Sus scrofa: one gene and its partners. The protein of the gene in region 6 purifies or fractionates together with the protein of the main gene of each other region. This does not show direct contact. Links are inferred from orthologs where the notes say so. Each region holds a gene or a part of one and is shown on either strand. Other genes may lie near its edges. The genes, in order: KIAA1429, FUS, SRPK2, FNBP4, NCBP1, ZC3H18 and NCBP2.

Region 1 (3,500 bases), on a different chromosome or scaffold from region 6:
AATATCTCTACTTTCATTTCTGATTTCATTTTTTTTTTTTTTTTTTTTGTCTTTTCGTGTTTTCTACGGCCGCTCCCGAGGCATATGGGGGTTCCAAGGGTAGGGGTCTAATAGGAGGTGCAGCTGCTGGCCTATGCTAGGGCCACAGCAACATGGGATCCAAGCCGAGTCTGCAACCTACACCACAGCTCATGGCAACGTCAGATCCTTAACCCACTGAGCAAGGCCAGGGATCAAACCCGAAACCTCATGGTTCCTAGTTGAATTCGTTAACCACAGCGGGAACTCCTCATTATTCTTTTCACTTTTTTTTTTTTTTTTTTGTCTTTTTGCCATTTCTTGGGCCACTCCCGCGGCATATGGAGGTTCCCAGGCTAGGGGTCTAATCGGAGCTGTAGCTGCCAGCCTACGCCAGAGCCACAGCAACGCAGGATCCGAGCCGCGTCTGCGACCTACACCACAGCTCACGGCAACGCCGGAACCTTGACCCACTGAGCAAGGGCAGGGACCGAACCCGCAACCTCATGGTTCCTAGTCGGATTTGTTAACCACTGTGCCACGACGGGAACTCCTCATTATTCTTTTCTATTGTGTCTAGTCTTATCACCTTGTCTGACATGTATGTTACTTATGTATAGTTACTCTAAGTTTTGTTGAATTTACTGACTTGTTTGAAAATGAAATAAAATGGCAGTTCCCATTGTGACTCAGTGGTAACAGCCCGATTAATATCCATGAGGATGCAGGTTTAATCCCTGGCCTTGCTCAGTGGGTTAAGGATCTGGAGTTACTGTGAGTTGTGGTGTAGGTCACAGGTGCAACTTGGATCCCGAATTGCTGCAGCTGTGGTGTAGGCCAGTAGCTGTAGCTCCAATTCAACCCCTAGCCTGGGAACCTCCGATTGCCTTGGGTGAGACCCTAAAAACAAACACAGAGAGAGATGTAAAATGAACACTTAAGCTCATATATTGTACATATGTTTGTGTATATGTGTATATGTTTTTAACTTTTTATTTTGAAATAGTTGTAGATTTACAGGATACTGCAAAGAAATGTATAGGGAAGTCCTGTGCGCTCTTCCCCAGGTTCCCCCAGTGTTAACATCTTTTACAACTCTAGTACAAATCAAAACAAAATTAGCATTGTTACAGTCTGTAGAGCTTGTTCAGATTTCACCGTTTATTCACGTACTTATGTGTTTGTGTGTGTAGAGCTCTTTGTAATTTTATGTCATGTCTAGTTTCGTGTAACCATTACTGAAGTTAAGTTTTTTTTTTAACTCACTAAGCAAGGCCAGAAATTGAACCTGCATCCTCATGGATACTAGTCGGTTTTGTTATCACTGAGCTGTGACGGGAACTCTGCAGTTCAGATTCTTGATTGTATCATCAAAAGATTCCCTGGTGTTACCTCTTTGTAGCCACACACATCTTATCTGTTCTAATCTTTGGCAATCAATGATCTAGTCTCTGTCTCTGTAATTATTTCATGACTATTACCAAAAAATAGAATCATGAAGTTGGAATCAAGACATTGAGATTGGCATTTTTCATTCAGCATAATTTCTTTGAAGTTTATCTACTTTTTGTATTAGTAGATCATCCTTTATTGTTGTTGAGTAGTAATACATAGTATAGATGTATTATAGTTTACTTAACTGTTCAGTCATAGTGTCCAGTTTTTGACTTTTGCAAATAAAGCTATTATGAGCATTTGTTACATCTTTCTTTCAGGAAAATAAGTCTCCATTTCTCTGGGATAATGCACAAAAGTTATATACATTATATTTTGGCATATGGGAACTCAGAAATTTTCACTTTCCCCATACAAATTAATTCACAAAATTTCTGTTAGACATCAGAAAGGAAGTTTATAAATTCTGAAGATGAAAACTCAAATGATGAATAGCATTTTTTTGTCCTGCATTTGTTTTCACTATACTTTAATAATTTGAAAGTTCTTTTTCTGTCTCTAATAAAACTAGCTGATGGGGAGAAGGAAGATCAATTTAATGGAAGCCCTCCAAGACCACAGCCAAGGGGACCGAGAACTCCACCAGGACCCCCTCCACCTGATGATGATGAAGATGATCCCTTGCCATTGCCAGGTAGAAAAAATATTAATGGTACCTTTTTTTTTTTTTTTTTTTTTTTTTTTGTCTCTTGCCTTTTTAGGGCCACACCTGCAGCATATGGAGGTTCCCAGGCTAGGGGTCGAACCAGGGCTACAGCTGCCGGCCTATATCACAGCCACAGCAACGCGGGATCCGAGCCGCGTCTTGGACTTACACCACAGCTCACAGCAATGGATCCTTAACCCACTGAGCGAGGCCAGGGATCGAACCCGCAACCTCATGATTCCTAGCCGGATTCGTTAACCACTGAGCCACAACGGGAACTCCCAAGATTAATGTTAATAGTACTTTTTGATTAAAGAAAAAAAATTTAGATGCTGGTAATCAAATCTTAATGAATTTGTCCTGCCCCCATCCCGTGCAGTGTTTTCTTGCAGTTTTTTTTGTTGGCACGTGAACTTGTTTAAAAAAAAAAATTGGCAATGTTGAAGCAACATTGCTTTGAAAATAAAATGTTAATGTGCTATAGCGGTATGTACAGAACAGCACTAGTATGTACATAAAATGTAAGACTTGGAAGAGATAAAAATCTGTATAGTTACTTAATAGCTAAAAAGAAGATTATTGAATTAGAACATAAAATAGCATACTTTATTAATTCTCACTGTATAAGGTTGTGCAGTGTATATTCTTAATATTTTTTCGAAGCAAATAATTCTACTGCTATCTGTTTATTTATTTATTGCTTTCTTTTAGGGCCGTACCCACAGCATATGGAGATTCCCAGGCCAGTTGGAGGACAGCTCACGGCAACGCTGGATCCTTAACCCACTGAGCAAGGCCAGGGATTGAACCTGAGACCTCATGGCTGCTAGTCAGATTCATTAACCACTGAGCCATGACAGGAGCTCCTCTACTACTTTTTAAAAAACAGTGTTTATGAGCTAAGTCATCCATGATGTCATTAAGTAGTTGTGATACCAGTCCTTCTGCCTCATGTTATTTAAGCCATTAAAATAATCTGTGCCTTAAATCTCAATTTTTTAGTGTCTGGTGACAAGGAAGAAGATGCTCCTCATAGAGAAGATTACTTTGAGCCCATTTCTCCTGATCGGAATTCTGTTCCCCAGGAAGGTCAATATTCTGATGAAGGAGAAGTAGAAGAGGAACAGCAAGAGGAAGTAGAAGATGATGAAGATGATGGGGATGTAGAGGAAGAAGAGGATGAGGATGAGGATGATCGCCATACAGTAGATAGTATCCCTGAAGAGGAAGAGGAAGATGAAGAGGAGGAAGGTGAAGAAGATGAAGAAGGCGAAGGTGGGTTAAATTAGCTAGGACGTCTTGGTTTTAAGTGCTAGAAACTAGCTTGATGTAGCTTTGAGCAATGCAAAAGAATTTATAGCAGAGATAAATGGCTTTCAAG
Region 2 (4,269 bases), on a different chromosome or scaffold from region 6:
TTCCCAGGCCAGGGACTAAACTCTGGCTGTAGCAGTGAAAGCACCTGATTCTAGCCACTAGACCACCAGGGACCTTTCTCAATACTTTCAGCTTTCCTTCTCCAGGCAAGGCTGATGAGAGTGCAAGTTGCAAGTTAATTTGAATTTCATGTTTTGTCCTTTTTCTCATAAGGAGTGAACAAGCTTCAGAACACTTCAAAATGTCTGTATAACTAACAAAAGGAGTATTTTGCAGCCACACAGACCTGGATTCGAATTAGACCCCTTACATTTGGCTGTTCCATAATCATAGATTGCATTTGGCCTGAGTCTCATTTTTTTGGTGTATAAAAGATAGCCTTGCTATCTTTCTTCGTAAGATTGTGATGGAAAAGCAATTAATTGGGCTTTTTTTTTTTTGGCCGCGCCCACTGCATGCAGAAGTTCTGGGGCCAGGGAGTGAACCCTTGCCACAGCAGCCACCTGAGCCACAGTAGTGACAACGCCAGATCTTTAACCCACTGTGCCCTGAGAGAACTCTCTAATTGTGCATTCTGAAGCCACTTCAGCCCTATACAAATATCAATTATTGTTGGATCTGCACATTGATTCCTCCGTAGGGTTTCAGGAAAATACTCCCAGCCCTTTATCAGCAAAAGGCTGGGAGAACCCTGATATAATCTCAATCTCCGGATTGTTTGGGCTTTTCTGTCCAACAGCGAGTCAGAAGCCAAGCTTTGAGGTTGTAGGTGGGCCATAAATGCTTAATCAAAACAGGACCCAGGGGTCCGAGCTAAACTCCATGCTTGCTTTCACGTCAAACGTCACAATCCACAAGCCCTGGTAAGGACAACCCTGAAAGACGATGAGTGAAAACCAAGACGAAGAAAGGTAGTGTGTGTGGTCGGGGGAGGGACGTTAGAACCAAGAGAGGGAGGCTGGCGCGGGAGGGAGGATGCATCTGATGCAGTGGAAGGGCAGTGGAGCGGAGAAGCTCGCTATCCGGAGTGAAAGTGAGGCCCAGCGAAAGGGGCCAGCCTGAGGAATTTCGGTTCCCGCCCCACGACTCCCGGCTTTGACTACAGTTCCGCCCGCAGACGCCCTAGGCCCCTCGCCCCGCCCCCAGAGGGTAATCGGACTGTACCATTATGATCTTATAGGGGTGGAAGTGAATCTTTGGCTCGTCCTTCAGAGAAAATATAAATTATTTCTCAGAAAAAATAAGGCTATATATATTATTTGCATGGTTCTTAGTGAATAACAATTATGTTCTGCCGGCTAGGACCCTATATATTCCCTGAAGGGCGGCAGGAGTCCGGCCATGCTTCCCCTTTTCCTTTCCGCATTTGGTGCATTCCCCCAGGATACGTAGGCGGGGGAGGCGTACATAAACCTCGACGCAGGAGGCGGGGCTGCTCAGTCCTCGAGGCGTCGGTGCTCAGCGGTGTTGGAATTCTGTTGCTTGCCGGCCTGTGCGCGCGTGCGCGGACATGGCCTCAAACGGTATGTAAGTGCGCGAGGCGGCGGTGGCGCGCCAGCCCTGGAGCTCGTAAGCTCCCAGTTGGGCTTTTGTTTCTCGGTGGGGCCCGGGCAGCGATCGCATGTAGGATCTTCTCCGCACCACTGGCGGGAAGCAGCGGAGAGGGGTGGAAGGGGGAGGCCGATGTCGCCATTTTGTTTCGCTCCGCTGGCGCCTCGCGCAGGGCGGGAGGTCTTCCCTTTGCAGCCCCTTTCCTTTAGGTGAGGGTTGGGAGGAACTCTTCTTGGTGACTGGGGACGTGAGACGCGGATGGAAATGCTTGGTCCCCGTAGCCTTCTCTCCTCCGCGTCTCCAGCCCCGCGCTCGGGCCCGCTTTGTCGCAGTGCTGCATCCGGGCACTCGGTGCGCGCACGCGCTCTACTGGCCCCTCCCCCCTTTTCTGGCGGCGCGAACCCCCCTCCCGCCTCGTGTCGGCCCTGCTTTTTGTCGCGAGACCCTCCACCGGCAGCTCCGCGGCGCTCGTCCGGTGTGGGCCTCGCTCCCGGGGTCCCTCGGGAAGGGGCGGGACCTCCTCGTTCCCGCCTCGCGTGCCACGCGGCTGGGGGCGGAGGCTTTGGATCGGGACCGCGCGCCCGTTTAACGGCTAGGGGTGGGGGGCTAGGGGGTGGTCCAACGGACTTGGGGACCGGGTGAGGCTTTTCCCGCCTAAATTTTCCTCCTTGGGAGGTAGGAACTGAAAGGAACGGCCGCCTTAGGCCACACCCTCTCCCGATCCTTTTGCCGTTTCCTGCGGGGAAAGCTGTTTCCTGTATCGAGATGAGTTGATCAGGCTTGTGCTGTCTTCCTTGTGGCGTTTTCGTTACCTTGGATTCGCCAAGTCTCCCCGCAGCCCCGAGGCAGGCAGGGGAGATAGGAACTCGTTGGGAGCCGTAGGGCTGAGGACCTGAGTACCAGTCGGCTTGCCTCTCGAGGCGACCGCTCTTTGATGGCGATCTCTGTCGTTTGGGGTCAAAGAATTCTCCCTTCTTGGTGAGCTGGCTCTGCACTAAAAGCCCCCTGTTCCTGTCTCCAAGATTGGATGGAGGGTGGCCTCTCTCCAGATCTTGAGACTTTCTTTGGGTTGAGAAAGTGCAGGCTACAATCGGAACGTTTTTGCTTCTGGCTTGCAATAAAGCCTGTTCTGCTCAAGCAGCTGTGTGGCTTCAGTTGGACTCTTGGGGATACCTTCCTCATAGAGTGGGTGTGAAAACATGTGAGTCAGTTTGTGCAGTTCCGGATATCAGTTGAAGTTGCAGAAAAATGGTAGTTGTCCACCAGGACTCTTGCTTTTTCCAGTACTTAAGGCCTCTTGGTCTCGGTAGAAATTCGCTTTTTTGGTGTGTCTTTATTGTGAGAAAACTTGACTTTGGTCTGCCGTCTTGCCCCTCTCAACTAGGGTTTCAGGAGGGGATTTCTGCCTTGTCAATTTTCACATCTAGGGGCTCTGGGGCTTGAGTTGAGGCCTTTACCTCTAGTTTGTTCTCTTAGGGGTGGCTGAAGGTAATGTTAATATGATTGTATTTTTCTGTTTTGCAGACTATACCCAACAAGCAACCCAAAGGTGAGTGTCATTTCTGGGTTTCCAGAGTTTGTAGGGGGCAAGGGTGGCTAAGGTGTCTTTTCCTGAGAGCACCGTTGTTGCCTTTTCTTCTCCAGCTACGGGGCCTACCCCACCCAGCCTGGGCAGGGCTATTCCCAGCAGAGCAACCAGCCCTACGGACAGCAGAGTTACAGCGGTTACGGCCAGTCAGCGGACACTTCAGGCTATGGCCAGAGCAGCTATGGCAGTTCTTATGGACAGACCCAGAACAGTGAGTCTTTTTAAGTGGGTCACCCTTCCTCTTCCTGCTTTTTCTGAATGTTGCTTTTCTTAAACCTAAGCAGTGCTGAACTGTTGAAACTGTCCCCCAGTTTCTTTGCCCTTAACCAGTCTGTGATCCTTCAAGCTACTTAGAGTTTGAGTTCTTTCCAAGTACTTAATTCTGTTTCCTTTTATTTTCTTTGACTTTGCATTTTTTGATTTATGCTGCACTTCTCCCTGTTTCCCCTAAGAATGAAAGTGAAATTGGGGAAGAATATTCCCTAAAGGGAAAAGAGTTTTAAGTTTTTGATATTTAAAAGGAGAAAATGGGGAGTTCTCATCATGGTGCAGCGGAAACAAGTCGACTAGGAGCCATGAGGTTTCCGGTTTGATCCCTGGCCTTGCTCAGTGGGTTAAGGATCTGGCGTTGCTGTGAGCTGTTGTGTCGGTCACAGACGCAACTTGGGTGTGATCCTGTTGTGGCTTTGGTGTAGGCCAGCTGCTGCAGCTCCAATTCGACCCTTAGCCTGGGACTCTCCCTATGCTGTGGGTGTGACCCTAAAAAGCATAAAAAAAAATAAAAGGAGAAAATGATTTGCTTGAAGACGTTGGAAATCAGCATACTGTATATCACATTGATACACAAAGAGGTGGAATTTGCCCTTAGGTGCTGAAGGGTAAATAATCTGAGATGTACATCACAGGCTGGTTAAATGCTGTTAAAGGAGAGGGATCTCTTGGGCTGTGATTGGCGGTGGTTCAAGAGGCTGGCTTCAGGTGTAGGTAGCATTAGGGATGTATACAGTGTTTCATCAACCTATTCTCATTCCTCAATTCATGACTTTTTTTCTTTTTCTCGTAGCAGGCTATGGCGCACAGTCAGCTCCCCAGGGATATGGCTCAACTGGTGGCTATGGTAGTGGCCAGGGTTCTCAATCGTCTTACGGGCAGCAGTCTTCATACCCTGGCT
Region 3 (4,039 bases), on a different chromosome or scaffold from region 6:
CCAGCGGGTTTAGCATCTTTAAAATAATCATACTTTTTTTTTTTTTTTTTTTTTTTTTTGGTCTTTTCTAGGCCCACATCTGTGGCATATGGAGGTTCCCAGGCTAGGGGTCTAATTGGAGCTGTAGCCGCCGGTCTACACCATAGCTCACAGCTCACAGCAATGCCGGATCCTTAACTACTGAGCAAGGCCAGGATCAAACCCGCAACCTCATGGTTCCTAGCTGGATTCGTTAACCACTGAGCCAGGATGGGAACTAGCATCTTTAAAATAAATATTTTATTTATTTATTTTTGTCTTTTCTAGGGCTGCACCTGTGGCATTTGGAGGTTCCCAGGCTAGGGGTCTAATCAGAGCTTTTGCTGTTGGCCTAAGCCACAGCAATGCCAGATCCGAGCCGCGTTTGCAACCTAGACCACAGCTCACAGCAACGCCAGATCCTTAACCCACTGAGCGAGGCTGGGGATGGAACCCTCAACCTCATGGTTCCTAGTCAGGTTCGTTAACCACTGTGCCATGATGGGAACTCCATAAAATAAATATTTCAGAGCAGCTATTCTGATCAGTTAAAACTACAGATGATGGAGTTCCTGTTGTGGCTCAGCAGGTAAAGAACCCCGAGATAGTGTCTCTGAGGATGTGGGTTTGATCTCTGGCTTTGGTCAATGGTTTAAGGATCCATTGTAGGGGTAAGCTGCAGTGTAGGCTGTGTATGAGGCTTGGATGCAACCCCTAGCCTGGGAACTTCCATATGCCCCTGGATGGCCTTAAAAAGAAAAAAAAAGAAAAAAAGCGCAGTTGAGATTAAATGGTCAGGATGAATCTCTTTCAGAAATATAATTATTTAAATGAACAAGGGACCTCTGCAGTTATTTTTCTCACAGTCATCTTGATTAGGAAACATGATGCGTGAGTTTGGAGTCAGCTAGGCCTAAATTTGAATCATTGCTGGGTAAACCTCTTCAGGACTGTTTCCTCTTCGTAAGATGGAGAAAGAACTCCTTTGGTGGGTTGTTGAATTAAACTGTTACCTATGGTATTTACAGAGCTGGGCTTTGATTCGTGTGCAAACACTTAATTCAACCTTCCATGCTATTTGCATCGTTTCCTTCATCACACTCGAGCAATCCTCTGGGGTAAAGGTGAGAAATAAGATGACTTTTCCAAGGTCACACAGCTATTGAAGGACCCAGGTTTCCCAGCTCTTGGTCCTGTGCCCTTTACACACTCGCCGGAGAGGAGGGAGCGGCGCTCATGGGGATGCAAGGATGTAGAGGAGCAAAGGGGGAAAAGAGGCCGCGCGAGGAGAGGTGGTGTGAGACCCATGGAGGCGCTGGCCCAGGAAAGGCGCATGGAGAGGCGGGCAGCGCGTCGGGCCGGGGTAGGTAGAGGGGCTATGGCTCGTGGCCCTATGCCGGGGAGAGGAAGGAGGCCTGGGCCAAACGCGGGGGCGCAGGAGCCGAAGGCCCAGACGGCGGCGGGGGCGGGAGCAGCGGTGGACGTGGGGGGGGGTCATTTTCGCCCAGGTGAGTCAGGCGGGTGGGTGCAGGTGGGTACGGGTGGCGCGGGAGGGACAGCGCGGAGGGTCTGGACCCCACCGGGTGGGTGGGGGCGGGGCGGGGGCGGGGCCGGCTGGGGGCGGGTCTTGCTGGGCCCCCAGCTGGAGCGGCAGCTGCGGCGGCGGCGCAGGCGCGGTCCCCGCCTCCTCCTGGCCGGCAGAACGAGTGGTGGCTGCATCCCGGCTCGGCTCCCGCGTCGCCGCCGCCGACGCCGCTGCCGCCGCGAAGCCCCCTCCCCGCTTCCGCTGCGTCGCGATGAGCTCCCGGAAAGGTGAGTGGCCCGTGGCGTCCTCTCTTCCCTGCCACGCGGCCCCTGAGGCCGGTCTGCCCGACCGTTAATGTGTGTCTTCTCTTTCCTCAGTGCTGGCCATTCAGGCCCGAAAGCGGAGGCCGAAAAGAGAGAAACATCCGAAAAAGTGAGTCCACGCTGCGCTAGTCTCCGGACCCCCGCCCCTGCCCGGTCGGGGGTAGCCCGCGGCCGCGCAGGGGAAAGTTGCTCGGGTCCCCGGGGCGGGCGAGCGGGCGGGCTGATCCCCCGGGACGCCGGCGCTCGCCTCCAGCGCGCCCCGCGGGCTGCCCGGGGGGAGGGGCTGACGGTCGGGGGAGGGGCGCGCTGGCCCGCGGCCAGCCCGCTGAGCATCCCGGACCCTCGGCCCCTTGGGTCCCAAGGCACAGGGGGCTGACGGACGAGGAGGCGCCGGGCGTGCGCAACGTCCCCGGCTCGCCGAGCTGTCCCGGGGGTCGCGGGCCTTCCTGGGAGGGGCGGTGGCGTCTGCAGGCCGGGCCCGGCCCCGCCGCGCCGAGTGCCGGCGTGAGGCTGCGGCGTTGCTCCCACCTGGCCACCTGGGCCCTAGAGGAAGAGGAACGGAGTGTGAGAAAGAGTGTGTGTGTGTTGGGTGTCTCCTCCTCTTCCTCCCCGGCCCCCACCTTTCGGCCTTTCAGCTGAAAACCCGAGCTGGTTGTCAAGTGGTTTGCCTCGGGCGTGTTCCTGGCTCGAGTTCAGCTCCGAGACCTGTGCGTTTCGGCGCTTGGGTTTTTTTCCGAAACTTTCTGCCCGGGCCGAGCGTGCCTTCACTGCGCGGCGGCTGCGCCCGGGTCTCCGGCTGCGCGGGACCGGTGGGCGTGTGCGCGGGCGGTCCTCGGCGCGGCTGCCCAGCCCCTCATTGTGCTGGGAGGCGACGAACGGGGTGGTGATATTTAAAACGTGCCAGCCGCCAGCCACCCCCAGCCTGGCCGCGGACCGGAGTGGGAGCGCCCGGCGCTCGGGAAGTCTTTCCTGGAGAGCTGCTTCGGGACCGCGGAGCGCCGCCGTGTCTCTCCCTTTCTTTCCTGGTTTTGAAGAATCTATCAGCGTTCAACATCTTTACTCCTTCTCCCAGATTTGTGGCTTCCCTCTTCCATTTGAGCAAGAAATACCCTGTGTTAAATTTGCTACTATAGGGATAGCCCATCATCATCTTTAAATAAAATCACGAAATATTTCTTGTTTGTTTTCTTTAGGGGACGAACCTGCAGCCTTCCTAGGCTTTTCCCCTTCCTATTAGCCTTGATTTCTGCTTAGCGAATTTCACACCCATTGGTGGCGTCTATGAAAACTGCCTAAGTCTTTACTATTAATGTAATGTATCGTGATAGGATTTTTGTTCATTCAAACCGGAATATAACTTGAAAGTATGTTCAGCATTTCACAAAATGTCGTAGCAACATCATAATGCCTTAAAAAAAAAAAAAAGAAAGAAAAACCTACTAGAGCGAGGAAGAAGTACTTATTAAGGACTTAAGGAACTGGTGGGTAAAAATTGGGTATTACATTCTCGAAACGTTAAATAGCAATGGATATTTGATAGTTTTAGATGCTTTAAAAATTAATGCTCTCAATCAGAACCTTACATTAGGCATTTCTTTTGGTGAACGACGGAAAGCCCATAAGTAAGGACTGTAATGTTTAGGATCCTGAGTGTTGGGTTTGGAGCACAACTTTCAACTCAAAGAGTTTATTCCTGCATAGCCCCTTTTTTTTTTTTCAGAAAAGTTAATAGAAGTTGAAAAAGACATGCTGGGAGTTACCCTTGTGGCGCAGCGGAAATGAATCCGGCTAGTATCCATGAGAATGCAGGTTCAGTCAGTGGGTTGGGGATTCTGCGTTGCGGTGAGCTGTGGTGTAGGTCACAGACACGCTCGTATTCTGCGTTGCTGTGGCGTAGCCCAGCAACTACAGCTCCAATTTGACCCCTAGCCTGGGAACTTCCATATGCCGTGGGTGCAGCCCTAAAAAGACACCCCCCCAAAAAAAGAAAAATGCATGCCTTTTTTTTTTTTTTTTGTCTTTTTTGCTATTTCTTGGGCCGCTCCTGCGGCACGTGGAGGTTCCCAGGCTAGGGGTCCAATCGGAGCTGTAGCCACCGGCCTACGCCAGAGCCACAGCAACGCGGGATCCGAGCCGCGTCTGCAACCTACACCACACAGCTCACGGCAACGCC
Region 4 (3,500 bases), on a different chromosome or scaffold from region 6:
AGCCCAAGCCACAGCATTGACAACCAGGCACCCCAATAATAATTTCTAAAAGAAAATGTACAACAACAATGGTTGGTGAGCATTTGGAAATATCAGAACCCTTGTACACGTCTGGTGGTAATATAAAATAGTTCAGCCACTGGGGAAAAACTTTGACAGTTTCTAAAAAAGTTACACAGAATTACCATATGAGCCAATAATTCCACTCTTAAAATATATACATACCCCAAAGAAATGAAAACAAGCACTCAATATGCATGTTCACATAGACTGTTCATAATAGCCAAAAGAAATAAAACAATACAAATGCCCATCAGCGGATGAATGGATAAACAAATTGTATATACACACATGGAAAATTATTCAGCCATAAAAAAGAAGGAGGTCCTGGTACACATTACAATATGGATGAACCTGGAGATTTAAGTGCTAAGTGAAAGAACGCAGATACAAAAATTCACATATACACGATTCCAGAGCAGGTATACTGGTGAAAACAGAAAGCTGACCAGTAGTTCCCAGGGACTAGGGGAAGGAGTTAATGAGGAGTGACTGATCTTTTGGAGTTAGGAAAATGTATGTAGCCAGAAAGAGGTGGTGGTTGCACCACACTATGATATATTAAATGCTACTGAATTGTCTACTTTAAATATTACTTTGATAACGCAAACCTTGTCTTTTTTTTTTTGGTCTTTTTAAGGTCTCACTTGTGTCATATGGAGGTTCCCAGGCTAGGGATAGAATTGGAACTGCAGCCGGAGGCCTACACCACTGCCACACCAGATCTGAGCCGCGTCTGAGCTCAGAGCAACGCCGGATTCTTAACCTAATAACACAAATTTTAAATAAAAATTTAAAGAGAGATTTACCATACCTTATCTTTCTTTCCTTTTTTGGTCTTCTCAGGTGGTGGCACTTTGGGGGCTGGTGGTGGTGGTGGAGGAGGAGGAGGAGGAGGAGGAGGTGGTGGTTCTATAATGGCAGTGGTAGGCACAGCACTCCGGGCCTGAACTGGCTGCAATGTGGGGGCAGTTACTGCCAATGGGACAGAACATTCAGCATAGCTCATAATTGCAGGAGCTGATGCCAGTCCTAGATAATTTGATTGTAGATTCATTCCCCTGGCCTGATGACCCATTCCTGTTGCTGGATGGCTAACTGCTATTGTTTGGTGTCCAATTCCTGTGGTCTGGTGTCCAATCCCTGTTGCCTGGTGACCTAACAGAAAATACGTGAAAAGGAACTATAAAAAGGACATTGTGAAAAAGCCAAAAACAAGGAAAAGAAAGAAAAGGAAATTGAGGGTTAGAACACCCACAAAATGACTCTAATACACCTTTTCCTCAAAAAACATAGCCACATATTCTGGTGGCAAACTATTAATTTCTGAACATTTTAACATTAAAATACTTAAACATCAAGATCACTGATGTTAGGTAAATGTACAGAAAACAACATAGAAGGATATATGCCAAGCTCTTAAGAGTGGTTTTTAGTAACTGAAAGAAACACACACACAGTCTTTGTAGTGAAACACATTGTGTTTCTTCAATGTCTATCTTATTCTGGAAACAAAGATAATGCACTGATGAAATTACCTTGTAAACACAATGCTTACCTGTAGCCATACTTGACTGGCTGTAGAGGACTGGAGAACTACCTATGGTAGCTGATCTCTGAACTACTGCAGTACTCATTTCTGTAGCTTTTCTCTTTATTGCTTTAGTGGAAGGAGAACTAGAGATGGTAGAATCAGCTGAACTCTGAAAAGGAGAGATTCTAGTTAGTGGCTCAAGATCTGGTTAAATACCTTCTAAAATAAAACATGGTGTCAGTCATCCCCAGGTCCCCAAGACTCTTCAGAATGCCACATGGCCTTTCTCACCTGGCTAGTGACAACTGGGGTTTGTGCTGAAGGTTTCAATGGCGTATCCTCCTCTGTTCCTGGGGCAGGAGGCTCCTCACTTCCCTCATCCTCCATCTCTACTTCCTGAATCTCACCATCTTCTACTGGAGGAGGAGGGGGAGGAGGGGGAGGAGGGGATTCTGGAGGTGGAGGTGGAGGTGGTGGCATTTCCAAAGGTAATGGAGGTTGAAGCACAGGCACATTTGACTGAAGGAGGGTCCAGAATGGAGTAAGTGGCATGAGTGACGAAGAAGAAACTTGACCAGAAAAGGATTCTTTACAAAGGGAACCTACGAAAACAAACAGGAGTCAGGGGAAAAAAAAACAAGCCTAAAACTTAAATGTTCAATTGGTGAGACACAATCTGTCCCACACACATGTATTCTACACTGACGTCACTGAAATATTAAACTCAGTTCAAAAATGACTTCCACGAAAGATAAATTTATAGAATTTACAGTTAGCACTGGCCTTAGCTGTGTTGTATCAGTTTGTTTTGGGGGGGGGTCCAGGTTTTATGGATGAGTAAATGAAGCACATCACATTAACTCAGTAAAAAATTCAGTCATTTGAACCTGAAGTTTTTTATTTCAAAGATATACAACCAGAAGGCAACACTTGGGATCTTTTCTGTCAAAAGTGAAGGAGTGAACGATGTGCATTTTCAATACTGATTCCATGAGTTTATTTTTCAGTGAGCTAGATAAGTGATTAGGGATGATCCAGAGAAGTACCCCTTCAAAATACTCCAGCAAATTCTACCCATTTAAATTAATTTGGGTTACTAAGTTAAAAAAATCCATTTGCAAGGTGATATTGTCAACTCTATCATTTCTTCACACCTTTGTGTGAATTATTCACTTGCTAAATCACAGTAACAAATTAAGGAGGGTAATTTTTTATTTCTGTGATGAGAAAAGGGAAACTCATTGAAGAGAATGAATCTTCAAGGTAAACGATAATGATAAATGGTAACACACCAAAGAGGTATTTGAAGATACAGAGGACTTGAAATCGCTGTTGAAGTTAAAAAATTAATAGTTAATTACTGTCCTTTCTTTGCTGGGAAAAGCTCTAAAAATTAGAGAAAATAGGAAGATATACTTACTTGTAGCCTTCCCCATCCCTCTTTATCGTCAATAGGGAAGTTTCACAATATCTGGGACTATTAGATATATATCCCAGGAATGTTGAAGGGGATTTTCTCCCTAAAATCATAGAATTTAGGAGTAGAAGAAACATGAGAAATCATCTAATTTAACCCTCTCATTTTTAAGGTAATGAAACCCAGGAGGGAAATGATTTGCCCAAGATCACACAGCTCTTAATGGCCAGTCTGACTCCTAGACTAGTGCTATTTTAACAAGATGTCCTCATGAAACATCAAGGAGTCCAAGAGCTTTAGAAATTTCAAATAAATTTAACTTCTCATGGAGAAGAGATCCAGATACAGTCACCAATCAAATTTCTTGGTCAAAGCAGGAAATTAATTAAGGTCTCTATTATAAAAGGCTCTAGGACAAGGATAAGGCTTTTCATCTTACTGTGCTCAAAATATATCATGCTGGAACTCAACAATGAAAAACCAAAGCAA
Region 5 (4,276 bases), on a different chromosome or scaffold from region 6:
TCTGTAAACAACAATTCCATTCTTCCTGTTACTCAGGAAAAAACTTTGGGATTCTTGTCTCCTCACTCTTTCAGAGTATTGAAAATCCTGTCAATTCTGCTTTTGAAATATAATCACATCAGATGACACTGCACTACCTTCCCTACCAACCCCACTTAAGCAACCATTATTTCTTGCATGAATTATTGCAATTGCCTAACTGCCCTTCTCCCGTAAGAGCAAGAGGGGTGACTTTAAAAATAAGTCAGATCTCTCCCTCCAAAGGCTTTTAAAGGCATCAGATAAAGTCCAAGGTTCTTATAAAGCCTTTCCCACCACACCCTAATCGCATCTTTTTCTATTTTTGCCCACCACCTCTGACTGCAGTTTGCTGGATTCCTCAACCGGTCATCAGCACTGAGAAAGCAGGGGTTTTCCTTCGTTCACCTCAGCCTCCTCAATGTCTAGAACACTGCCTGGCACATAATAAATACAATATTTGTGGTATGGAGTAAAAGGTTGGGTGGCCAGGGAAGGATTCCTAAGGGGGCTGATGCTTGAGCTGGGACTGAAATGCCAAGGAGCCATCCATGCATACTTAAGGGTAGAAATCTTCAGGCAAAGGAATATAAATGCCTAAAGGGTGAACAAGCTTGCCTTACTGGAGGTACAGGAAGAAAGTAAGAATTGTTGGAGCATAGTGATAAAAGAGTAGGACCCTGTAGGTCAGGTTACTTTACATCGCAAAGTCATGAGAGAGTAGTAAAAAAGGAGTAACTGATTCCAGATCGGTTTTGAAAGTAGAGCTGATAAGGTTTACTGATAGTTCATTAGGTAGTAAGTAAGGAGCCAAGAATGACTCCTACCTACATTTTTGGATTAAGCAATCGGATGGATGCGTAAAAGTGAAGGAGCAATAGGTTAGGCTAGGTTAGGCTAGGAGAATGAAAGGTTCATTTCACGCGTGTGAAATTTCAAATGGCCATCGACAAAGCAGATAAGCAGCCGTGGTGTTCACCACAGAGGTCAGGGCGGAGAATATTCACATACACATAATGGAAGTATCCAATAACCACTGGAAACATTACTAAAGCGATCAACAACTCAGAGGGGCGAGAGGTCAGACGACGGTCAGAAGCTAACCGCAGAGCAGCAAGCTCAAGCTAGGCAGGGTCTTTCGGTCCCCAGAGCTGCTCGAGCGGCGCCGCTTCCCGCTTGGGCCCCACCCCGCGCGCCGGGCCTGGCCCAATCTCTCCTCCCAGCTTTCCCGAGTCGGCAGAGGCCCGGAAGTGGGAGAAAGATGAGCACGTACCCGCCAGTCCAGATCCTTTCTTAGATCTTTCTTCACCAAACCGTCTCCGCCTAGCAATTGTCACCTCTCACCACCCTTGCACCTCCAGCCCCCGCCCCTGTTTACGTAGGAAGGAACGCCGGGGACCTCACCTCGCCCCGGAAGTCTAGGCCGTTAGCGAAAGGGCCGCCGGGAAAACCACTGAGAGGCCCGGGGGGGAGTCTGAAGTGGAGGGAGTCTGAACTAGAGCGTCCCTCCTAGACCACCCCCGCCAAGGCGTGGCTCGCGGCCTGCGGGCTCCGGCCGCCTGGGGAGGCGGTGCTCTCCGCGTGGCCCCGGAAGGACTTCCCGCGGAGGCGGGCGAAGGAAGCAGCGGAGAGGCGGAGGCAGCCCGAGGGGGCGGTTGCGTGCGGACGAGGCGGCAGTGGCTTGGTGAGGTTCCAGACGCCGGCTCTCCGGGATCCGAGCCCGCCGAGCCCACCCGGCCACTTCTCCCCCTTGCGCTTCCGGGAGCCGTCGCGAGCGAGTGCGCCTGCGCGCGGGCCACTTCGTGAGCCTCGCCGCTGTCCTCGCGCCGGCCGGCTGCCCGACGGTTCCTGCCGCTCTTCCCGCCCGGCGTCTAGGCTCCGCCGCATACACAACGTGCGGCATGTCACGGCGGCGGCACAGCGACGAGAACGATGGTGAGTGCTCTGGGCCTGGCCGCCGAAGCCGCGCCCAGGTGGGGCCGAGGTTTGGCTTCTTCGGTCTTCAGGTCCTGAGCGAAGGGACGGGAAGCCCTTCCCCCAGGAACTTGCGGGGAGATGGGTGGCACAGCGGGAGTGTGGCTGGGCGACTGCTGGAAAGCTCGTGCTATCCCCCACCGCACCTCTTGAGTCGTCGGCGGAGGGGAGGCCTGGTGCACCCCTGGTCTCTAAGCACTCTTTAAGATAAGGTCCTTGGTACCGCCGAGCAGGGAAGTATATTTGTGTCTGTGCCGCTTCCCCTTAGAGACGGTGACCAGGACTCACTTGTCCCAGTGTCTCGTTTTGACCCTCAAACATCATGTATTAATGGCTCTCGGAAGGTGAGAGATCTGATGAATTGCAATCCCAGCTCTCCTGTGCGGGTCATCCGGGGTTTTGCCTTCTTTCAAACCACTGGGGAAGAAAAATCAGCTTCTTATCCGCACGCGAGAAGTCTTTAATAAATAGATATACGTAGGTCGTTATGTTAGATCTTGAATTGGTTGTAAGCTTATTTCTCTCGTTTAAGAAAAGAATGCCAGAAGACTCACTAGAGAGCTCGTAGAGGTTAGATCGGGGTTCCCATTTGGATATTTGCACTCATGGGGATCCTGGAATTGCCGTCATAGAAACCAGGAATAATTTAGCTAGTTAAAAATAGGAAACGATGCTTACATTAAAAAAACAACAGTCAAGAATACACATCTAGAAAAGCAAAAAGAAACTAAAAATAATTTAGTTATTAATACTTGAAAATAGTGTTGTAAAGTGGTTAAGAGGCCAGACTTTGGAGACAGAGGGTTTAAGTTCAAAGTTAGACCTTGCCATTTATTTTGTGATCTTGCCCAGATTATATCACCTCTTTAAACCTTAGTCTGTAGTATTGGATTAATGATACATGCCTGTTCTTGGTTTTGTGAGGATTAACATATGTAACTAATTGCTCATGATGATATGTATTTTATCATCTGTTAATGCTTAAGAATTGATAAGCATTGGCAGATGTCAACGATGTAGGAAAAAAATACGGATCAAAAAGTTGGATTTAATTAATTTTCTCCACTTATATTTTTCTCTCCTTGAATGTTGGGGCACTCGAGGGTAGGAACCAAATCCCACCTACTTAATTTTAACAATGAAATATCAGTTTTCTGCTAGGACATGGCTTGAGAGGATAGTCTAGTCCAGTCTTGTCACCTGACACCTAAGGGTCTAGATTTAGTATAATTAATGGAGATGGCTGTGCCCAGACACAGGTGAAAGCAAATCCAAGGTTCTTTTTGCTACACATGTATAGTAGGCTGCATGCTTTGATTTTTTTTTTTTTAATCACAGGAGGCTTCTTGTATAATGTACATACAGAGCACAGAAAATAGTCTTCATGTGCTTTGCATTTGATTAATTAAAAACCTAAATCTCCTAGAAGTCATCACTTGGTATTTGGAGAACTTGAGTCTAAATTTAAAGTTGTTCCCATTTTCTTTGCTCTTCTTGTGCTTTTTTTTCTCTTCTCCCTTCTAGGGCATTCCTAAAAGGAGAGGGAGTGTTTCCAAAGGACAGCCTGGAGAATTCGATGTGAATATGTAGTTTGGTTATTGGGATGCTAGCATAACTTTCTTAGGAGTTAGCTTCTGGCAGCTAAAGCACTGTCCATTTGGGTCTTGCTGCAGGAACCTCAGAATAAATAAGACAAAAGAAAAGAAAATAAGGAGTTAATCAAAATCCAACTAGGAACCATGAGGTTGCGGGTTCCATCCCTGGCCTCTCTCAGTGGGTTAAGGATCCGACGTTGCCAGGAGCTGTGGTGTAGGTTGCAGACGTGGCTTGGATCTGGCGTGGCTGTGGCATAGGCCAGCAACTGTAGCTCCAATTAGACCCCTAGCCTGGGAAACTCAACATGCTGTGGGCGAGGCCCTAAAAAGAAAAAAAAAAAAAAAGGAGTTAATCAAAGTTTACTATGAATAATTTAGTAGTAGAGGGGCAGTTAATAGTTCCTCTTAGATACTATCCTGGAACTTCAGTAAATTGCCGCACTTTGGGTAACGATCAGCTAGGATTTCTGCTAAAATCAGAAATATTGGGAGTTTAAAAAAAAAAAAGAGTTCCCATTATGGTTAAGCGGAAGGAAACGAATCTGACTAGCATCCATAAGAGTGCAGGTTCAGTCCCTGGCCTCTCTCAGTGGGTTAAGGATCTGGCATTGCCATGAGCTATGGTGTAGGTCACCGATATCACTTGGATCTGGCGTGGCGGTGGCTGTGGTGTAAGCCAGTGGCTATAG
Region 6 (4,156 bases):
ACGCGGAAATGGAAGGACCTGCGGTCGCGTCCTCACCGACTCCTAGGCTCACAATTTTCAGTTTCTTCTGCTCCCACAATCGCCCCATAACCCAGCATTACTGGCAGAGTTTAGAAGGCTTTAGTGCGTTGATCCACAGACAGGAACTCGCCTGGAGAACAGAAGAACAAGGGCCAGAGAGTCCCCAGAGCATGTTAGATTTAGTGACGGTCACTGACAGCTGCCTGTGGAGTCAGTGACAAGTCTCGCACTGGATCAACTACTTCCTGGGCACCAGGAAGACATGGGAACCAAGCGTCTCCTTTTTTGAAGAGCGCGCTGGAACTCAGACCCCGCGGGTGCTGTCCTGCTTCCCAGCAGTCGCTCTGGAAGGCTACACCTGGACTCCAAGTGAACGGCACGTGGGAACTTTCCTTCCCGAGTGACCTTCCGAACCTGCAGCACCTCCCTGGCACTCTCCATGGCAGCACATCTTCCTCCTCTCAAGTGGCATCACTTTGAGAAACCAGTTCAGAGCCTGGCACTCTCCAGGGCAGCATGTCTTCCTCCTCTCAAAGAAACCAGTGCAGAGCCTAGTCTGGTCAGTGGGGTGAGTTCCCAAGCAAGGTAAGAGCATTTCTGGTCACACGTGGGGTGTGACCACGGAATGAGACTGATACATATCCCAAACAAGGCTTATATATTTACTACAAAAACAGGACTTCGAAAGAGGTTTGGCAAAGGAGCGCCAATGAATATAAACATAACCATCCAGGCTAACAACTTTTAATAGAGCAGCCCTACCTGAATGCTCAAGTCTGGTACGCCTAGTTAAAATGCAGATTCAGGAGTTCCCGTCCTGGTACAGCGGAAACAAATCTGACTGAGAACCATGAGGTTGCGGGTTTGATGCCTGGCCTCGCTCACTGAGTTAAGGATCTGGCGTTGCCATGAGCTGTGGTATAGGTCACAGACGCGTCTCGGATCTGGCATTGCTGTGGCGGTGGCGTAGGCCAGCAGGGCAGCTGTAGCTCTGATTGGACCCCTAGCCTGGGAATCTCCATATGCCGCGGGTGCAGCCCTAAAAAGCCAAAAAAAGAAAAAAAAAAAAAAAAAAAAAAAAAGAAAATGCAGAATCAGGAGTTCCCGTCGTGGCGCAGTGGTTAACGAATCCGACTAGGAACCATGAGGTTGCGGGTTCGATCCCTGCCCTTGCTAAGCGGGTTAACGATCCAGCGTTGCCGTGAGCTGTGGTGTAGGTTGCAGACGCGGCTCGGATCCCGAGTTGCTGTGGCTCTGGCGTAGACCAGTGGCTACAGCTCCGATTGGACCCCTAGCCTGGGAACCTCCATATGCCGCGGGAGCGGCCCAAGAAATAGCAAAAAAAAAAAAAAGACAAAAAGAAAATGCAGAATCATAACTTCATAGACTTAAAACATCCAAAGGAAGGATGTGTGGGTTGGTGACAGACACTGTCCCCAACCTGACCAAGCCTGACCCCAAATGACCCCTCAGGGAGGATGCACTCACTCACCTCGAGATGATCAGTGAAAAAGGAAAAAAAAAACAAACCCAAAAACTCTTCTGCTCTCGGGAACGATTCCACAAAGTTTTCATAAAATGTTTCACCATCTCCCACCTCAAATTGGAGAGGCTGAGGGGTTTTAACCTCTGGGACACATCTGAATGGTTTCAGAGCTGGCTGGGCTCCACACATGTGTTCAGACTGTAAAATCACTAGGAAAAGACTTCCTGTTGGGGAAATGGGAATCAGCCCAGGTCCAGACTCACCCTGAGAATCCCAATCTCCGCTCTGGGAAAGGACCACTCCAAAGGCAACGTGAAGATGAGAAACCAAGAGAGCCACTGCTGTGCCCCCAAAAGCCCTCTCCTTCCATTCTCCCCAAAGAGATCCGAAGGCTGATCTACTCTAACAGATGGAGCTGAACAGCTCACTTAAGATAATCGACCATTCTACCTGGCCAACTCAGCTGTCGTAAGAATTCAGGAAAACTTGAAGTTTTCGCAGGAGCAAAGCCGGAAGTCTTAAAGTCTGACGTCCCCCCAGCAATGACCCGGCATCCTTTGGGCTCCTTACCAAAGGAAAGGAAGTTTACTCCAAAGAGTGGCGCGCATCTTGGGGCGCAGCGCATAGGTCCAACCTGTGCCACCGGGAAGCCGAGGGGGCAAGTTCCAAGAGGCTCGAGAGAGTTCAAAGCTCCTGAAGAGCCCATCCCCAGTCCGGAGGGTGAGCCTGCGTGCCTCCTTCCGCCGCCCCCTCCCCCGGTCTTTGTAGGCGGCAAACACTGCCACGCGGATGTCCCGGAAGAGAAATGACAGCTTCGGGAGATCAACTCCACGGCGGGCGCGGAGGCAGCCGCCGTGCGCTCGGGCTAAAGGGTTCCAGGGTCCCCGGCCGGCTCGCAGCGAAAGGAGCGCAGGATCGTGCCTGAGTCAACGTCCTCTTCCTGGGGCTCGAGAACCACGCTTCGGCCGCGGGCAGCCTGGAGCGCTCCCCGGAGGCGGAGGCGGCGGGGCTCCCCGGCCTCCGCTCCGCGCCGCCGCCACGCTCCCCGCCCGGCCGCCTCGGCCTCCTCCTTCTACCCGCCCCGCCTCCGTGGTGGCGCCACCACTTACCTTACGAGAGCAGGGAGGGGGGGCCACGGCTCCGCGGAGGTCGGGGCGGCGTGGGGAAGTCGTCCCTCGACCCTTCCGCTCCTCACAGGCTCCGGCTTGAGGCGCGACGCGGGCGGAACAAACGGGCTCCACTACCCGCGGGGGCCGGCCATTGTGCGACGTCATCAGGCCGCGACGGTTGTCCTGCGGGCCGGGCGGGCTTACCTCTCTTGCCCCGCCCTCCGCCCGCTTCCTTCCGGCCTCCGCGCAGCTGCCTCCTCGCAGCCCCGCCCCCGCGGCGCGCGCCCGCCTGAACCCGACAGGACGCAGGCGCGGCCGAGGCCCCGCCTCCCGGGCGGGTCTCAGGACGCGCGCGCCGGCCGTCGTGCGGCTGGGAGAGCTTCCCGGGCCTCCGGGTCACGTGACGCGTGAGCGCCGGCGGGTTCCCGCCCCGCTGTGCGAGCTGCGCGCGGAGATGGGTCCCGGGGAGGTGGGGCGAAGAACTTACCTGCCCCCTTCCGGGTGGGGAGCTTCCGCGCAGGGGGGCTGCGCACCCAATCCAAAGTTAGTCCTTTCAGGGAAATGAGTTTATTTTATTTTTAATCTTTTCAGGGCGCACCCGCGGCTTATGGAAGTTCCCAGTCTAGGGGTCAAATCGGAACTGTAGCTGCCGGGCTACACCACAGCCACAGGAACGAGGGGGCAGAGCCGTGTCTGCGACCTGTAGCACAGTTCACTGCAGTGCCAGATCCTTAACCCACTGAGCGAGGCCAGGGATCGAACCTGCTTCCTCAGGAATGCTAGTCAGATTCCTTTCTGCTGAACCACGACGGGAACTCCAGGAAATGAGTTTAAATAACGAAGATTAAACTTTTTAAACTGTTTTGGGGGGATTAAATCCCCCCTTCCGTTAGATAGAATCAGTTCAAAACAAAATGATCATTTTCGAGATAGCGAGTTAAAATGTCAAAGCCTAGGAGTTCCCGTGGTGGCACAGCGGAAATGAATCTGACTAGGAACCATGAGGTTGGGGGTTTGATCCCCGGCTTCGCTCAGTGGGTTTACGATCCGGTGTTGCCGTGAGCTGTGGTGCAGGTCACAGACGCGGCTCGGATCTGGCTTGCTGTGGCTGTGTCGTAGGCGGCAGCTGTAGCTCGGATTAGATCCCTAGCCTGGGAACCTCCATCCTGAGGGTGTGGCCCTAAAAAAAAAAAAAAAGTCAAAGCTGAAACATTTGAAACTATTTCTGTGTAACTAAATAGCTATTGCTTTATCAAATATAACTGATCCAACACAAAACAATCATTTTTGAGATACTGAGTTTAAATGTCAAAGCTTAAACTTTTTAACTATTCCCAATGTTGTTTAAAGAGAAACAGCTCTGATTAGACCCCTAGCCTGGGAATTTCCATATGCCTTGGGAGTAGCCGTAAAAAGACAAAAGACAAAAAAATAAAAAATAAAAAAAATTTTTTTAAATTAAAAAAATGAAAACAACAGCCCCAAAATGGAGTCACTTATGCTAAGCCTAACCAGACTTCATGACTAATCTAATTGAAAT
Region 7 (3,500 bases), on a different chromosome or scaffold from region 6:
TGCTGAGGGAAATTTTCGGTTGGCCCACATCATAGCAGATTCTGTGGGAAGGGGGAGGCTGCGGGTTTTTAAGGTGAGGTCTTCAGTATCAAAAAAGGTGGGGGTGGGGTGAAGGCGCCACTTATTAACTGTTGGTTATTTGAAAAGTTTATATTGTACTGTTGCTGAAGCCTTTTGCTAAACTCTGGAGGGAGAGGGAAGAGTTTCCACACCCTAAGAGTTCATAATCCTCTAGGGTTTATAGGATTGTAAATGGAAGGACGGTGGAAGTGTAGGGATTTACAGTGGAGGCAGGTAGTCTAGAGCAGAAATGATGAATGGAAAGAGAGGGGCTGTGAGAATTCAGAAAATTCTCCTGTGACTGGGAAAGGAGTGGGCACATAAAGAAGAGGGTAGGTGTGGAGAATGTTTAAAATGTGTTAGTAGGCTAGGGAAACAGGAAATTTGAGGCCAATATCATACCTTAAATAAGTACTTACACTACAGCTATCTTAATTTAAATAAGTACACTACAGTTGTCTTAATTGTAGGCTCTATGTTGGGATACTACTTATATGAAAAGAAAGGAATATGCCTCTTGATCATAATTTTAACAAGTCGGTAATATAAAGTAGTAATATAAATTATTTAATTCTCATTTCAAAGTCCTGAAAAAACCTATTTTTAACATAGAATGATTCCTGTCAACTTTTTAAGGAAATAGGGTATTGAAGACTGGGTTTGGATTCCAGCTACAACTACTGATGAGCTGTGTGACTTGGACAAGTTACTTAGCTCTTTCCTCATGCAGAATGAGAATAGTAAATTAGGACCTACCTCATTCAGCTCTGAGAAGTAAATGAGACTTCATACATGGCAATCTGACCTGTAGTCTCTTGATTCTCCCTAGAGGCAAACGTATTACCTGTCTCTTATGTATGGTAGCTGGGTACATTTATACTTCTAAGAAATATAACTCAGAGCATGTCCTTCACATTGTTCTGTGCCTCCCCCCCCCACTTTGCTCCCTATCTTGGAGATGCTCTGTATCATTGCAGTAGAAATACATTTTTCTAGGGGTTGTATAGTTTTATACTTATTGATGTACCACAATCTTTCATCATTTTCCTTTTGACATGAGTTTAGATGGTTCCTGTTTTTGGTCTACCACTGAATGGGATCACCGAATGAGATTACTCTGAGTCTTGTGCTAAAAGCGTTCAGAGATGGATGCAAAATCTTTTTTTTTTTTTTTTTTTTTCTTTTTAGGGCCATACCTGCCGCATATGGAGGTTCCCAGGCTAGGCGTCGAGTTGGAGCTACAGGTGCTGGCCTACACCACAGGCCACAGCAACTCAGGACACAAGCCTTGTCTGCGACCTATACCTCTACTCACAGCAAAGCTGGATCCTTAACCTGCTGAGTGAGGCTAGGGATCGAACCCACAACCTCATGGTTACTAGTTGGATTGTTTCCACCACGCCACAACGGGAACTCTGCAAAATCTTATTTTCAGAGTAAAGGAAACTGGATTATCATTATATATGGAATAATAAGGGGAGCCTCTTGGGAAAGTGCTGTGGGGCAAAGAGTGTGGATCTACTTAGCTACTTTCCAAGCTAGAATATAGTTGATGTATAGTTGATGATTGAGCCCTAACCTGGATCAGAGGGGCCTGAGAGCAGGTCAGCTGGTAGACCTTCTATTTTTTTTTTTTTTTTTGTCTTTTTGCTATTTCTTTGGGCCGCTTCCGCGGCATATGGAGGTTCCCAGGCTAGGGGTCCAATCGGAGCTGTAGCCACCAGCCTACGCCAGAGCCACAGCAACGCAGGATCCGAGCCGCGTCTGCAACCTACACCATAGCTCACGGCAACGCCAAATCGTTAACCCACTGAGCAAGGGCAGGGACCGAACCCGCAACCTCATGGTTCCTAGTCGGATTCGTTAACCACTGCGCCACGACGGGAACTCCTAGACCTCCTATTTAATCAGCCTTTGTCCTCCCCATTGTGGAGGCTAGAAGAGAAGGTCTAAGGACAGCCATACTTACTGACTTTTGTGACGGTAGGTAAGATACTGTGTCTAGCCCATGCTAAGCCATTTTGTCCCCAAGGATTGTCAGACACAGGACAGGATTGTTACACACCTGTCCTTGGCTTCATCCTGTCTTCCAAATTAGGAAGCCTGTCAAGATAGTAAGATCTGTTGTTTTTGGTGATCACTACATTTTCTCCTAAATGCAAAAAATATATAAGAGCATGTAAATCATCCAGTCAGTTGTTGCTCTGAACATTCTCTATAGGAGTATATAGGGAATACCCTATCTCTAACCATTTATTTTTCACTAAAGAAAATAAAAAGGTCATTTCTAGTATATTGGTTCAAGGTCCTGAAATTAAACTTGGGCCATTAGAGAAGGATCCAGTGCTGAGAATATGGAGAATGCAGGCAAAAATCATACCACTTGTGTTGGAGAAGGAGGGCTGTATATAACCTTAAGCTGTGGCCCTCTACTAAAAGCAGTCTGGGCCTTGCAAAAGTTCTTCTTAGAATCTAACACCCTTGGCAAGGGATGATTGAGAGTTGGGATGATTAAGAAAAACTGATTTCCAAATCAGAATTAATGACAGTTTTCCCATACTTAGGAATTCTACTTAAGCACGGCTCTCCTTAGATTGTGTTACTTAGCTTTTTCTCCATTTGAATTTCTAGGGTGACAATGAAGAACAGGAGAAGTTACTGAAGAAAAGCTGTACATTGTATGTTGGAAATCTTTCCTTTTATACAACTGAAGAACAAATCTATGAACTCTTCAGCAAAAGTGGTGACATAAAGAAAATCATCATGGGCCTGGATAAAATGAAGAAAACAGCGTGTGGGTTTTGCTTTGTGGAGTATCCTTCCTGTGTGTCTATAGATGGCGGCCAGCAGTGGGCCCGAGTGTAGCAGTGTAGCGGGTTACATAAGTGAGAATATTCACTAATTAGCATCTGACACTTATCTCTACCTCTCCTTCCTTCATCTACTCTTACCTCCAGTGTATCTGTATTCTTATATTAGGAAAGCTGGTAACATTTATATTCTGTTCTGAAATCCATGCTTTGTTTGTAGTTGATTAAGTCTTTTTTTTGCTTTTTGCTTTCTAGGGCTGCACTTGTGGCTTTTGGAAGTTCTCAGGCTAGGGGTAGAATTGGAGATACAGCTGCTGGCCTATGCCACAGCCACAGCAATGCCAAATCAAGCTGTATCTGCAGCCTATACCATAGTTCACATGGCAACACCAGATCCTTTAATTCACTGAGTGAGGCCTGGGATCAAACCTCCATCCTCTTGGACACCCAGGTTTGTTACCACTGAGCCACAAGGGGAACTCCTGATGTTTTTGTTTTTTTTAATTAATATTTCCTTTTTGGGTCATTTTGTTTGAGAAATTTCCCAGACCTGATCTAACATGTCTTTTGAATTTTCTGTGCCTTGAATTGTTTGTTTGGTGTTTTGTTTTTGTCTGTTTTATCTTTTTA

The links.
Region 1: the proteins of ZC3H18 (region 6) and KIAA1429 purify together in Homo sapiens (affinity purification with mass spectrometry; 3 studies listed by BioGRID and IntAct, counting the BioPlex papers as one, with this or other methods). This does not show direct contact. The link is inferred for Sus scrofa from reciprocal best matches to the Homo sapiens genes ZC3H18 and VIRMA.
Region 2: the proteins of ZC3H18 (region 6) and FUS purify together in Homo sapiens (affinity purification with mass spectrometry; 3 studies listed by BioGRID and IntAct, with this or other methods). This does not show direct contact. The link is inferred for Sus scrofa from reciprocal best matches to the Homo sapiens genes ZC3H18 and FUS.
Region 3: the proteins of ZC3H18 (region 6) and SRPK2 purify together in Homo sapiens (affinity purification with mass spectrometry; 3 studies listed by BioGRID and IntAct, with this or other methods). This does not show direct contact. The link is inferred for Sus scrofa from reciprocal best matches to the Homo sapiens genes ZC3H18 and SRPK2.
Region 4: the proteins of ZC3H18 (region 6) and FNBP4 purify together in Homo sapiens (affinity purification with mass spectrometry; 3 studies listed by BioGRID and IntAct, counting the BioPlex papers as one, with this or other methods). This does not show direct contact. The link is inferred for Sus scrofa from reciprocal best matches to the Homo sapiens genes ZC3H18 and FNBP4.
Region 5: the proteins of ZC3H18 (region 6) and NCBP1 purify together in Homo sapiens (co-immunoprecipitation; 3 studies listed by BioGRID and IntAct, with this or other methods). This does not show direct contact. The link is inferred for Sus scrofa from reciprocal best matches to the Homo sapiens genes ZC3H18 and NCBP1.
Region 7: the proteins of ZC3H18 (region 6) and NCBP2 purify together in Homo sapiens (co-immunoprecipitation; 3 studies listed by BioGRID and IntAct, with this or other methods). This does not show direct contact. The link is inferred for Sus scrofa from reciprocal best matches to the Homo sapiens genes ZC3H18 and NCBP2.

What each region holds. Positions count from the first base shown.
Region 1 is NC_010446.5:42,186,424-42,189,923, forward strand, and holds part of KIAA1429 (protein virilizer homolog), read left to right. Parts: intron 1-1,984; coding exon 1,985-2,107; intron 2,108-3,121; coding exon 3,122-3,394; intron 3,395-3,500. UniProt on the Homo sapiens protein: Associated component of the WMM complex, a complex that mediates N6-methyladenosine (m6A) methylation of RNAs, a modification that plays a role in the efficiency of mRNA splicing and RNA processing.
Region 2 is NC_010445.4:17,323,766-17,328,034, reverse strand, and holds the start of FUS (RNA-binding protein FUS), read left to right. Parts: upstream 1-1,469; coding exon 1,470-1,482; intron 1,483-3,034; coding exon 3,035-3,059; intron 3,060-3,154; coding exon 3,155-3,309; intron 3,310-4,161; coding exon 4,162-4,269. UniProt on the Homo sapiens protein: DNA/RNA-binding protein that plays a role in various cellular processes such as transcription regulation, RNA splicing, RNA transport, DNA repair and damage response. Binds to ssRNA containing the consensus sequence 5'-AGGUAA-3'.
Region 3 is NC_010451.4:105,261,890-105,265,928, reverse strand, and holds the start of SRPK2 (SRSF protein kinase 2), read left to right. Parts: upstream 1-1,239; 5' UTR 1,240-1,254; coding exon 1,255-1,381; intron 1,382-1,660; exon of another isoform or gene 1,661-1,814; coding exon of another isoform or gene 1,815-1,830; intron 1,831-1,920; coding exon 1,921-1,975; intron 1,976-4,039. UniProt on the Homo sapiens protein: Serine/arginine-rich protein-specific kinase which specifically phosphorylates its substrates at serine residues located in regions rich in arginine/serine dipeptides, known as RS domains and is involved in the phosphorylation of SR splicing factors and the regulation of splicing.
Region 4 is NC_010444.4:14,919,533-14,923,032, reverse strand, and holds part of FNBP4 (formin-binding protein 4), read right to left. Parts: intron 2,197-3,500; coding exon 1,886-2,196; intron 1,764-1,885; coding exon 1,619-1,763; intron 1,219-1,618; coding exon 875-1,218; intron 1-874.
Region 5 is NC_010443.5:239,491,097-239,495,372, forward strand, and holds the start of NCBP1 (nuclear cap-binding protein subunit 1), read left to right. Parts: upstream 1-1,476; 5' UTR 1,477-1,919; coding exon 1,920-1,953; intron 1,954-4,276. UniProt on the Homo sapiens protein: Component of the cap-binding complex (CBC), which binds cotranscriptionally to the 5'-cap of pre-mRNAs and is involved in various processes such as pre-mRNA splicing, translation regulation, nonsense-mediated mRNA decay, RNA-mediated gene silencing (RNAi) by microRNAs (miRNAs) and mRNA export.
Region 6 is NC_010448.4:1,078,729-1,082,884, forward strand, and holds the start of ZC3H18 (zinc finger CCCH domain-containing protein 18), read right to left. Parts: upstream 2,801-4,156; 5' UTR 2,617-2,800; intron 1-2,616.
Region 7 is NC_010455.5:133,183,709-133,187,208, forward strand, and holds part of NCBP2 (nuclear cap-binding protein subunit 2), read left to right. Parts: intron 1-2,691; coding exon 2,692-2,873; intron 2,874-3,500. UniProt on the Homo sapiens protein: Component of the cap-binding complex (CBC), which binds co-transcriptionally to the 5' cap of pre-mRNAs and is involved in various processes such as pre-mRNA splicing, translation regulation, nonsense-mediated mRNA decay, RNA-mediated gene silencing (RNAi) by microRNAs (miRNAs) and mRNA export.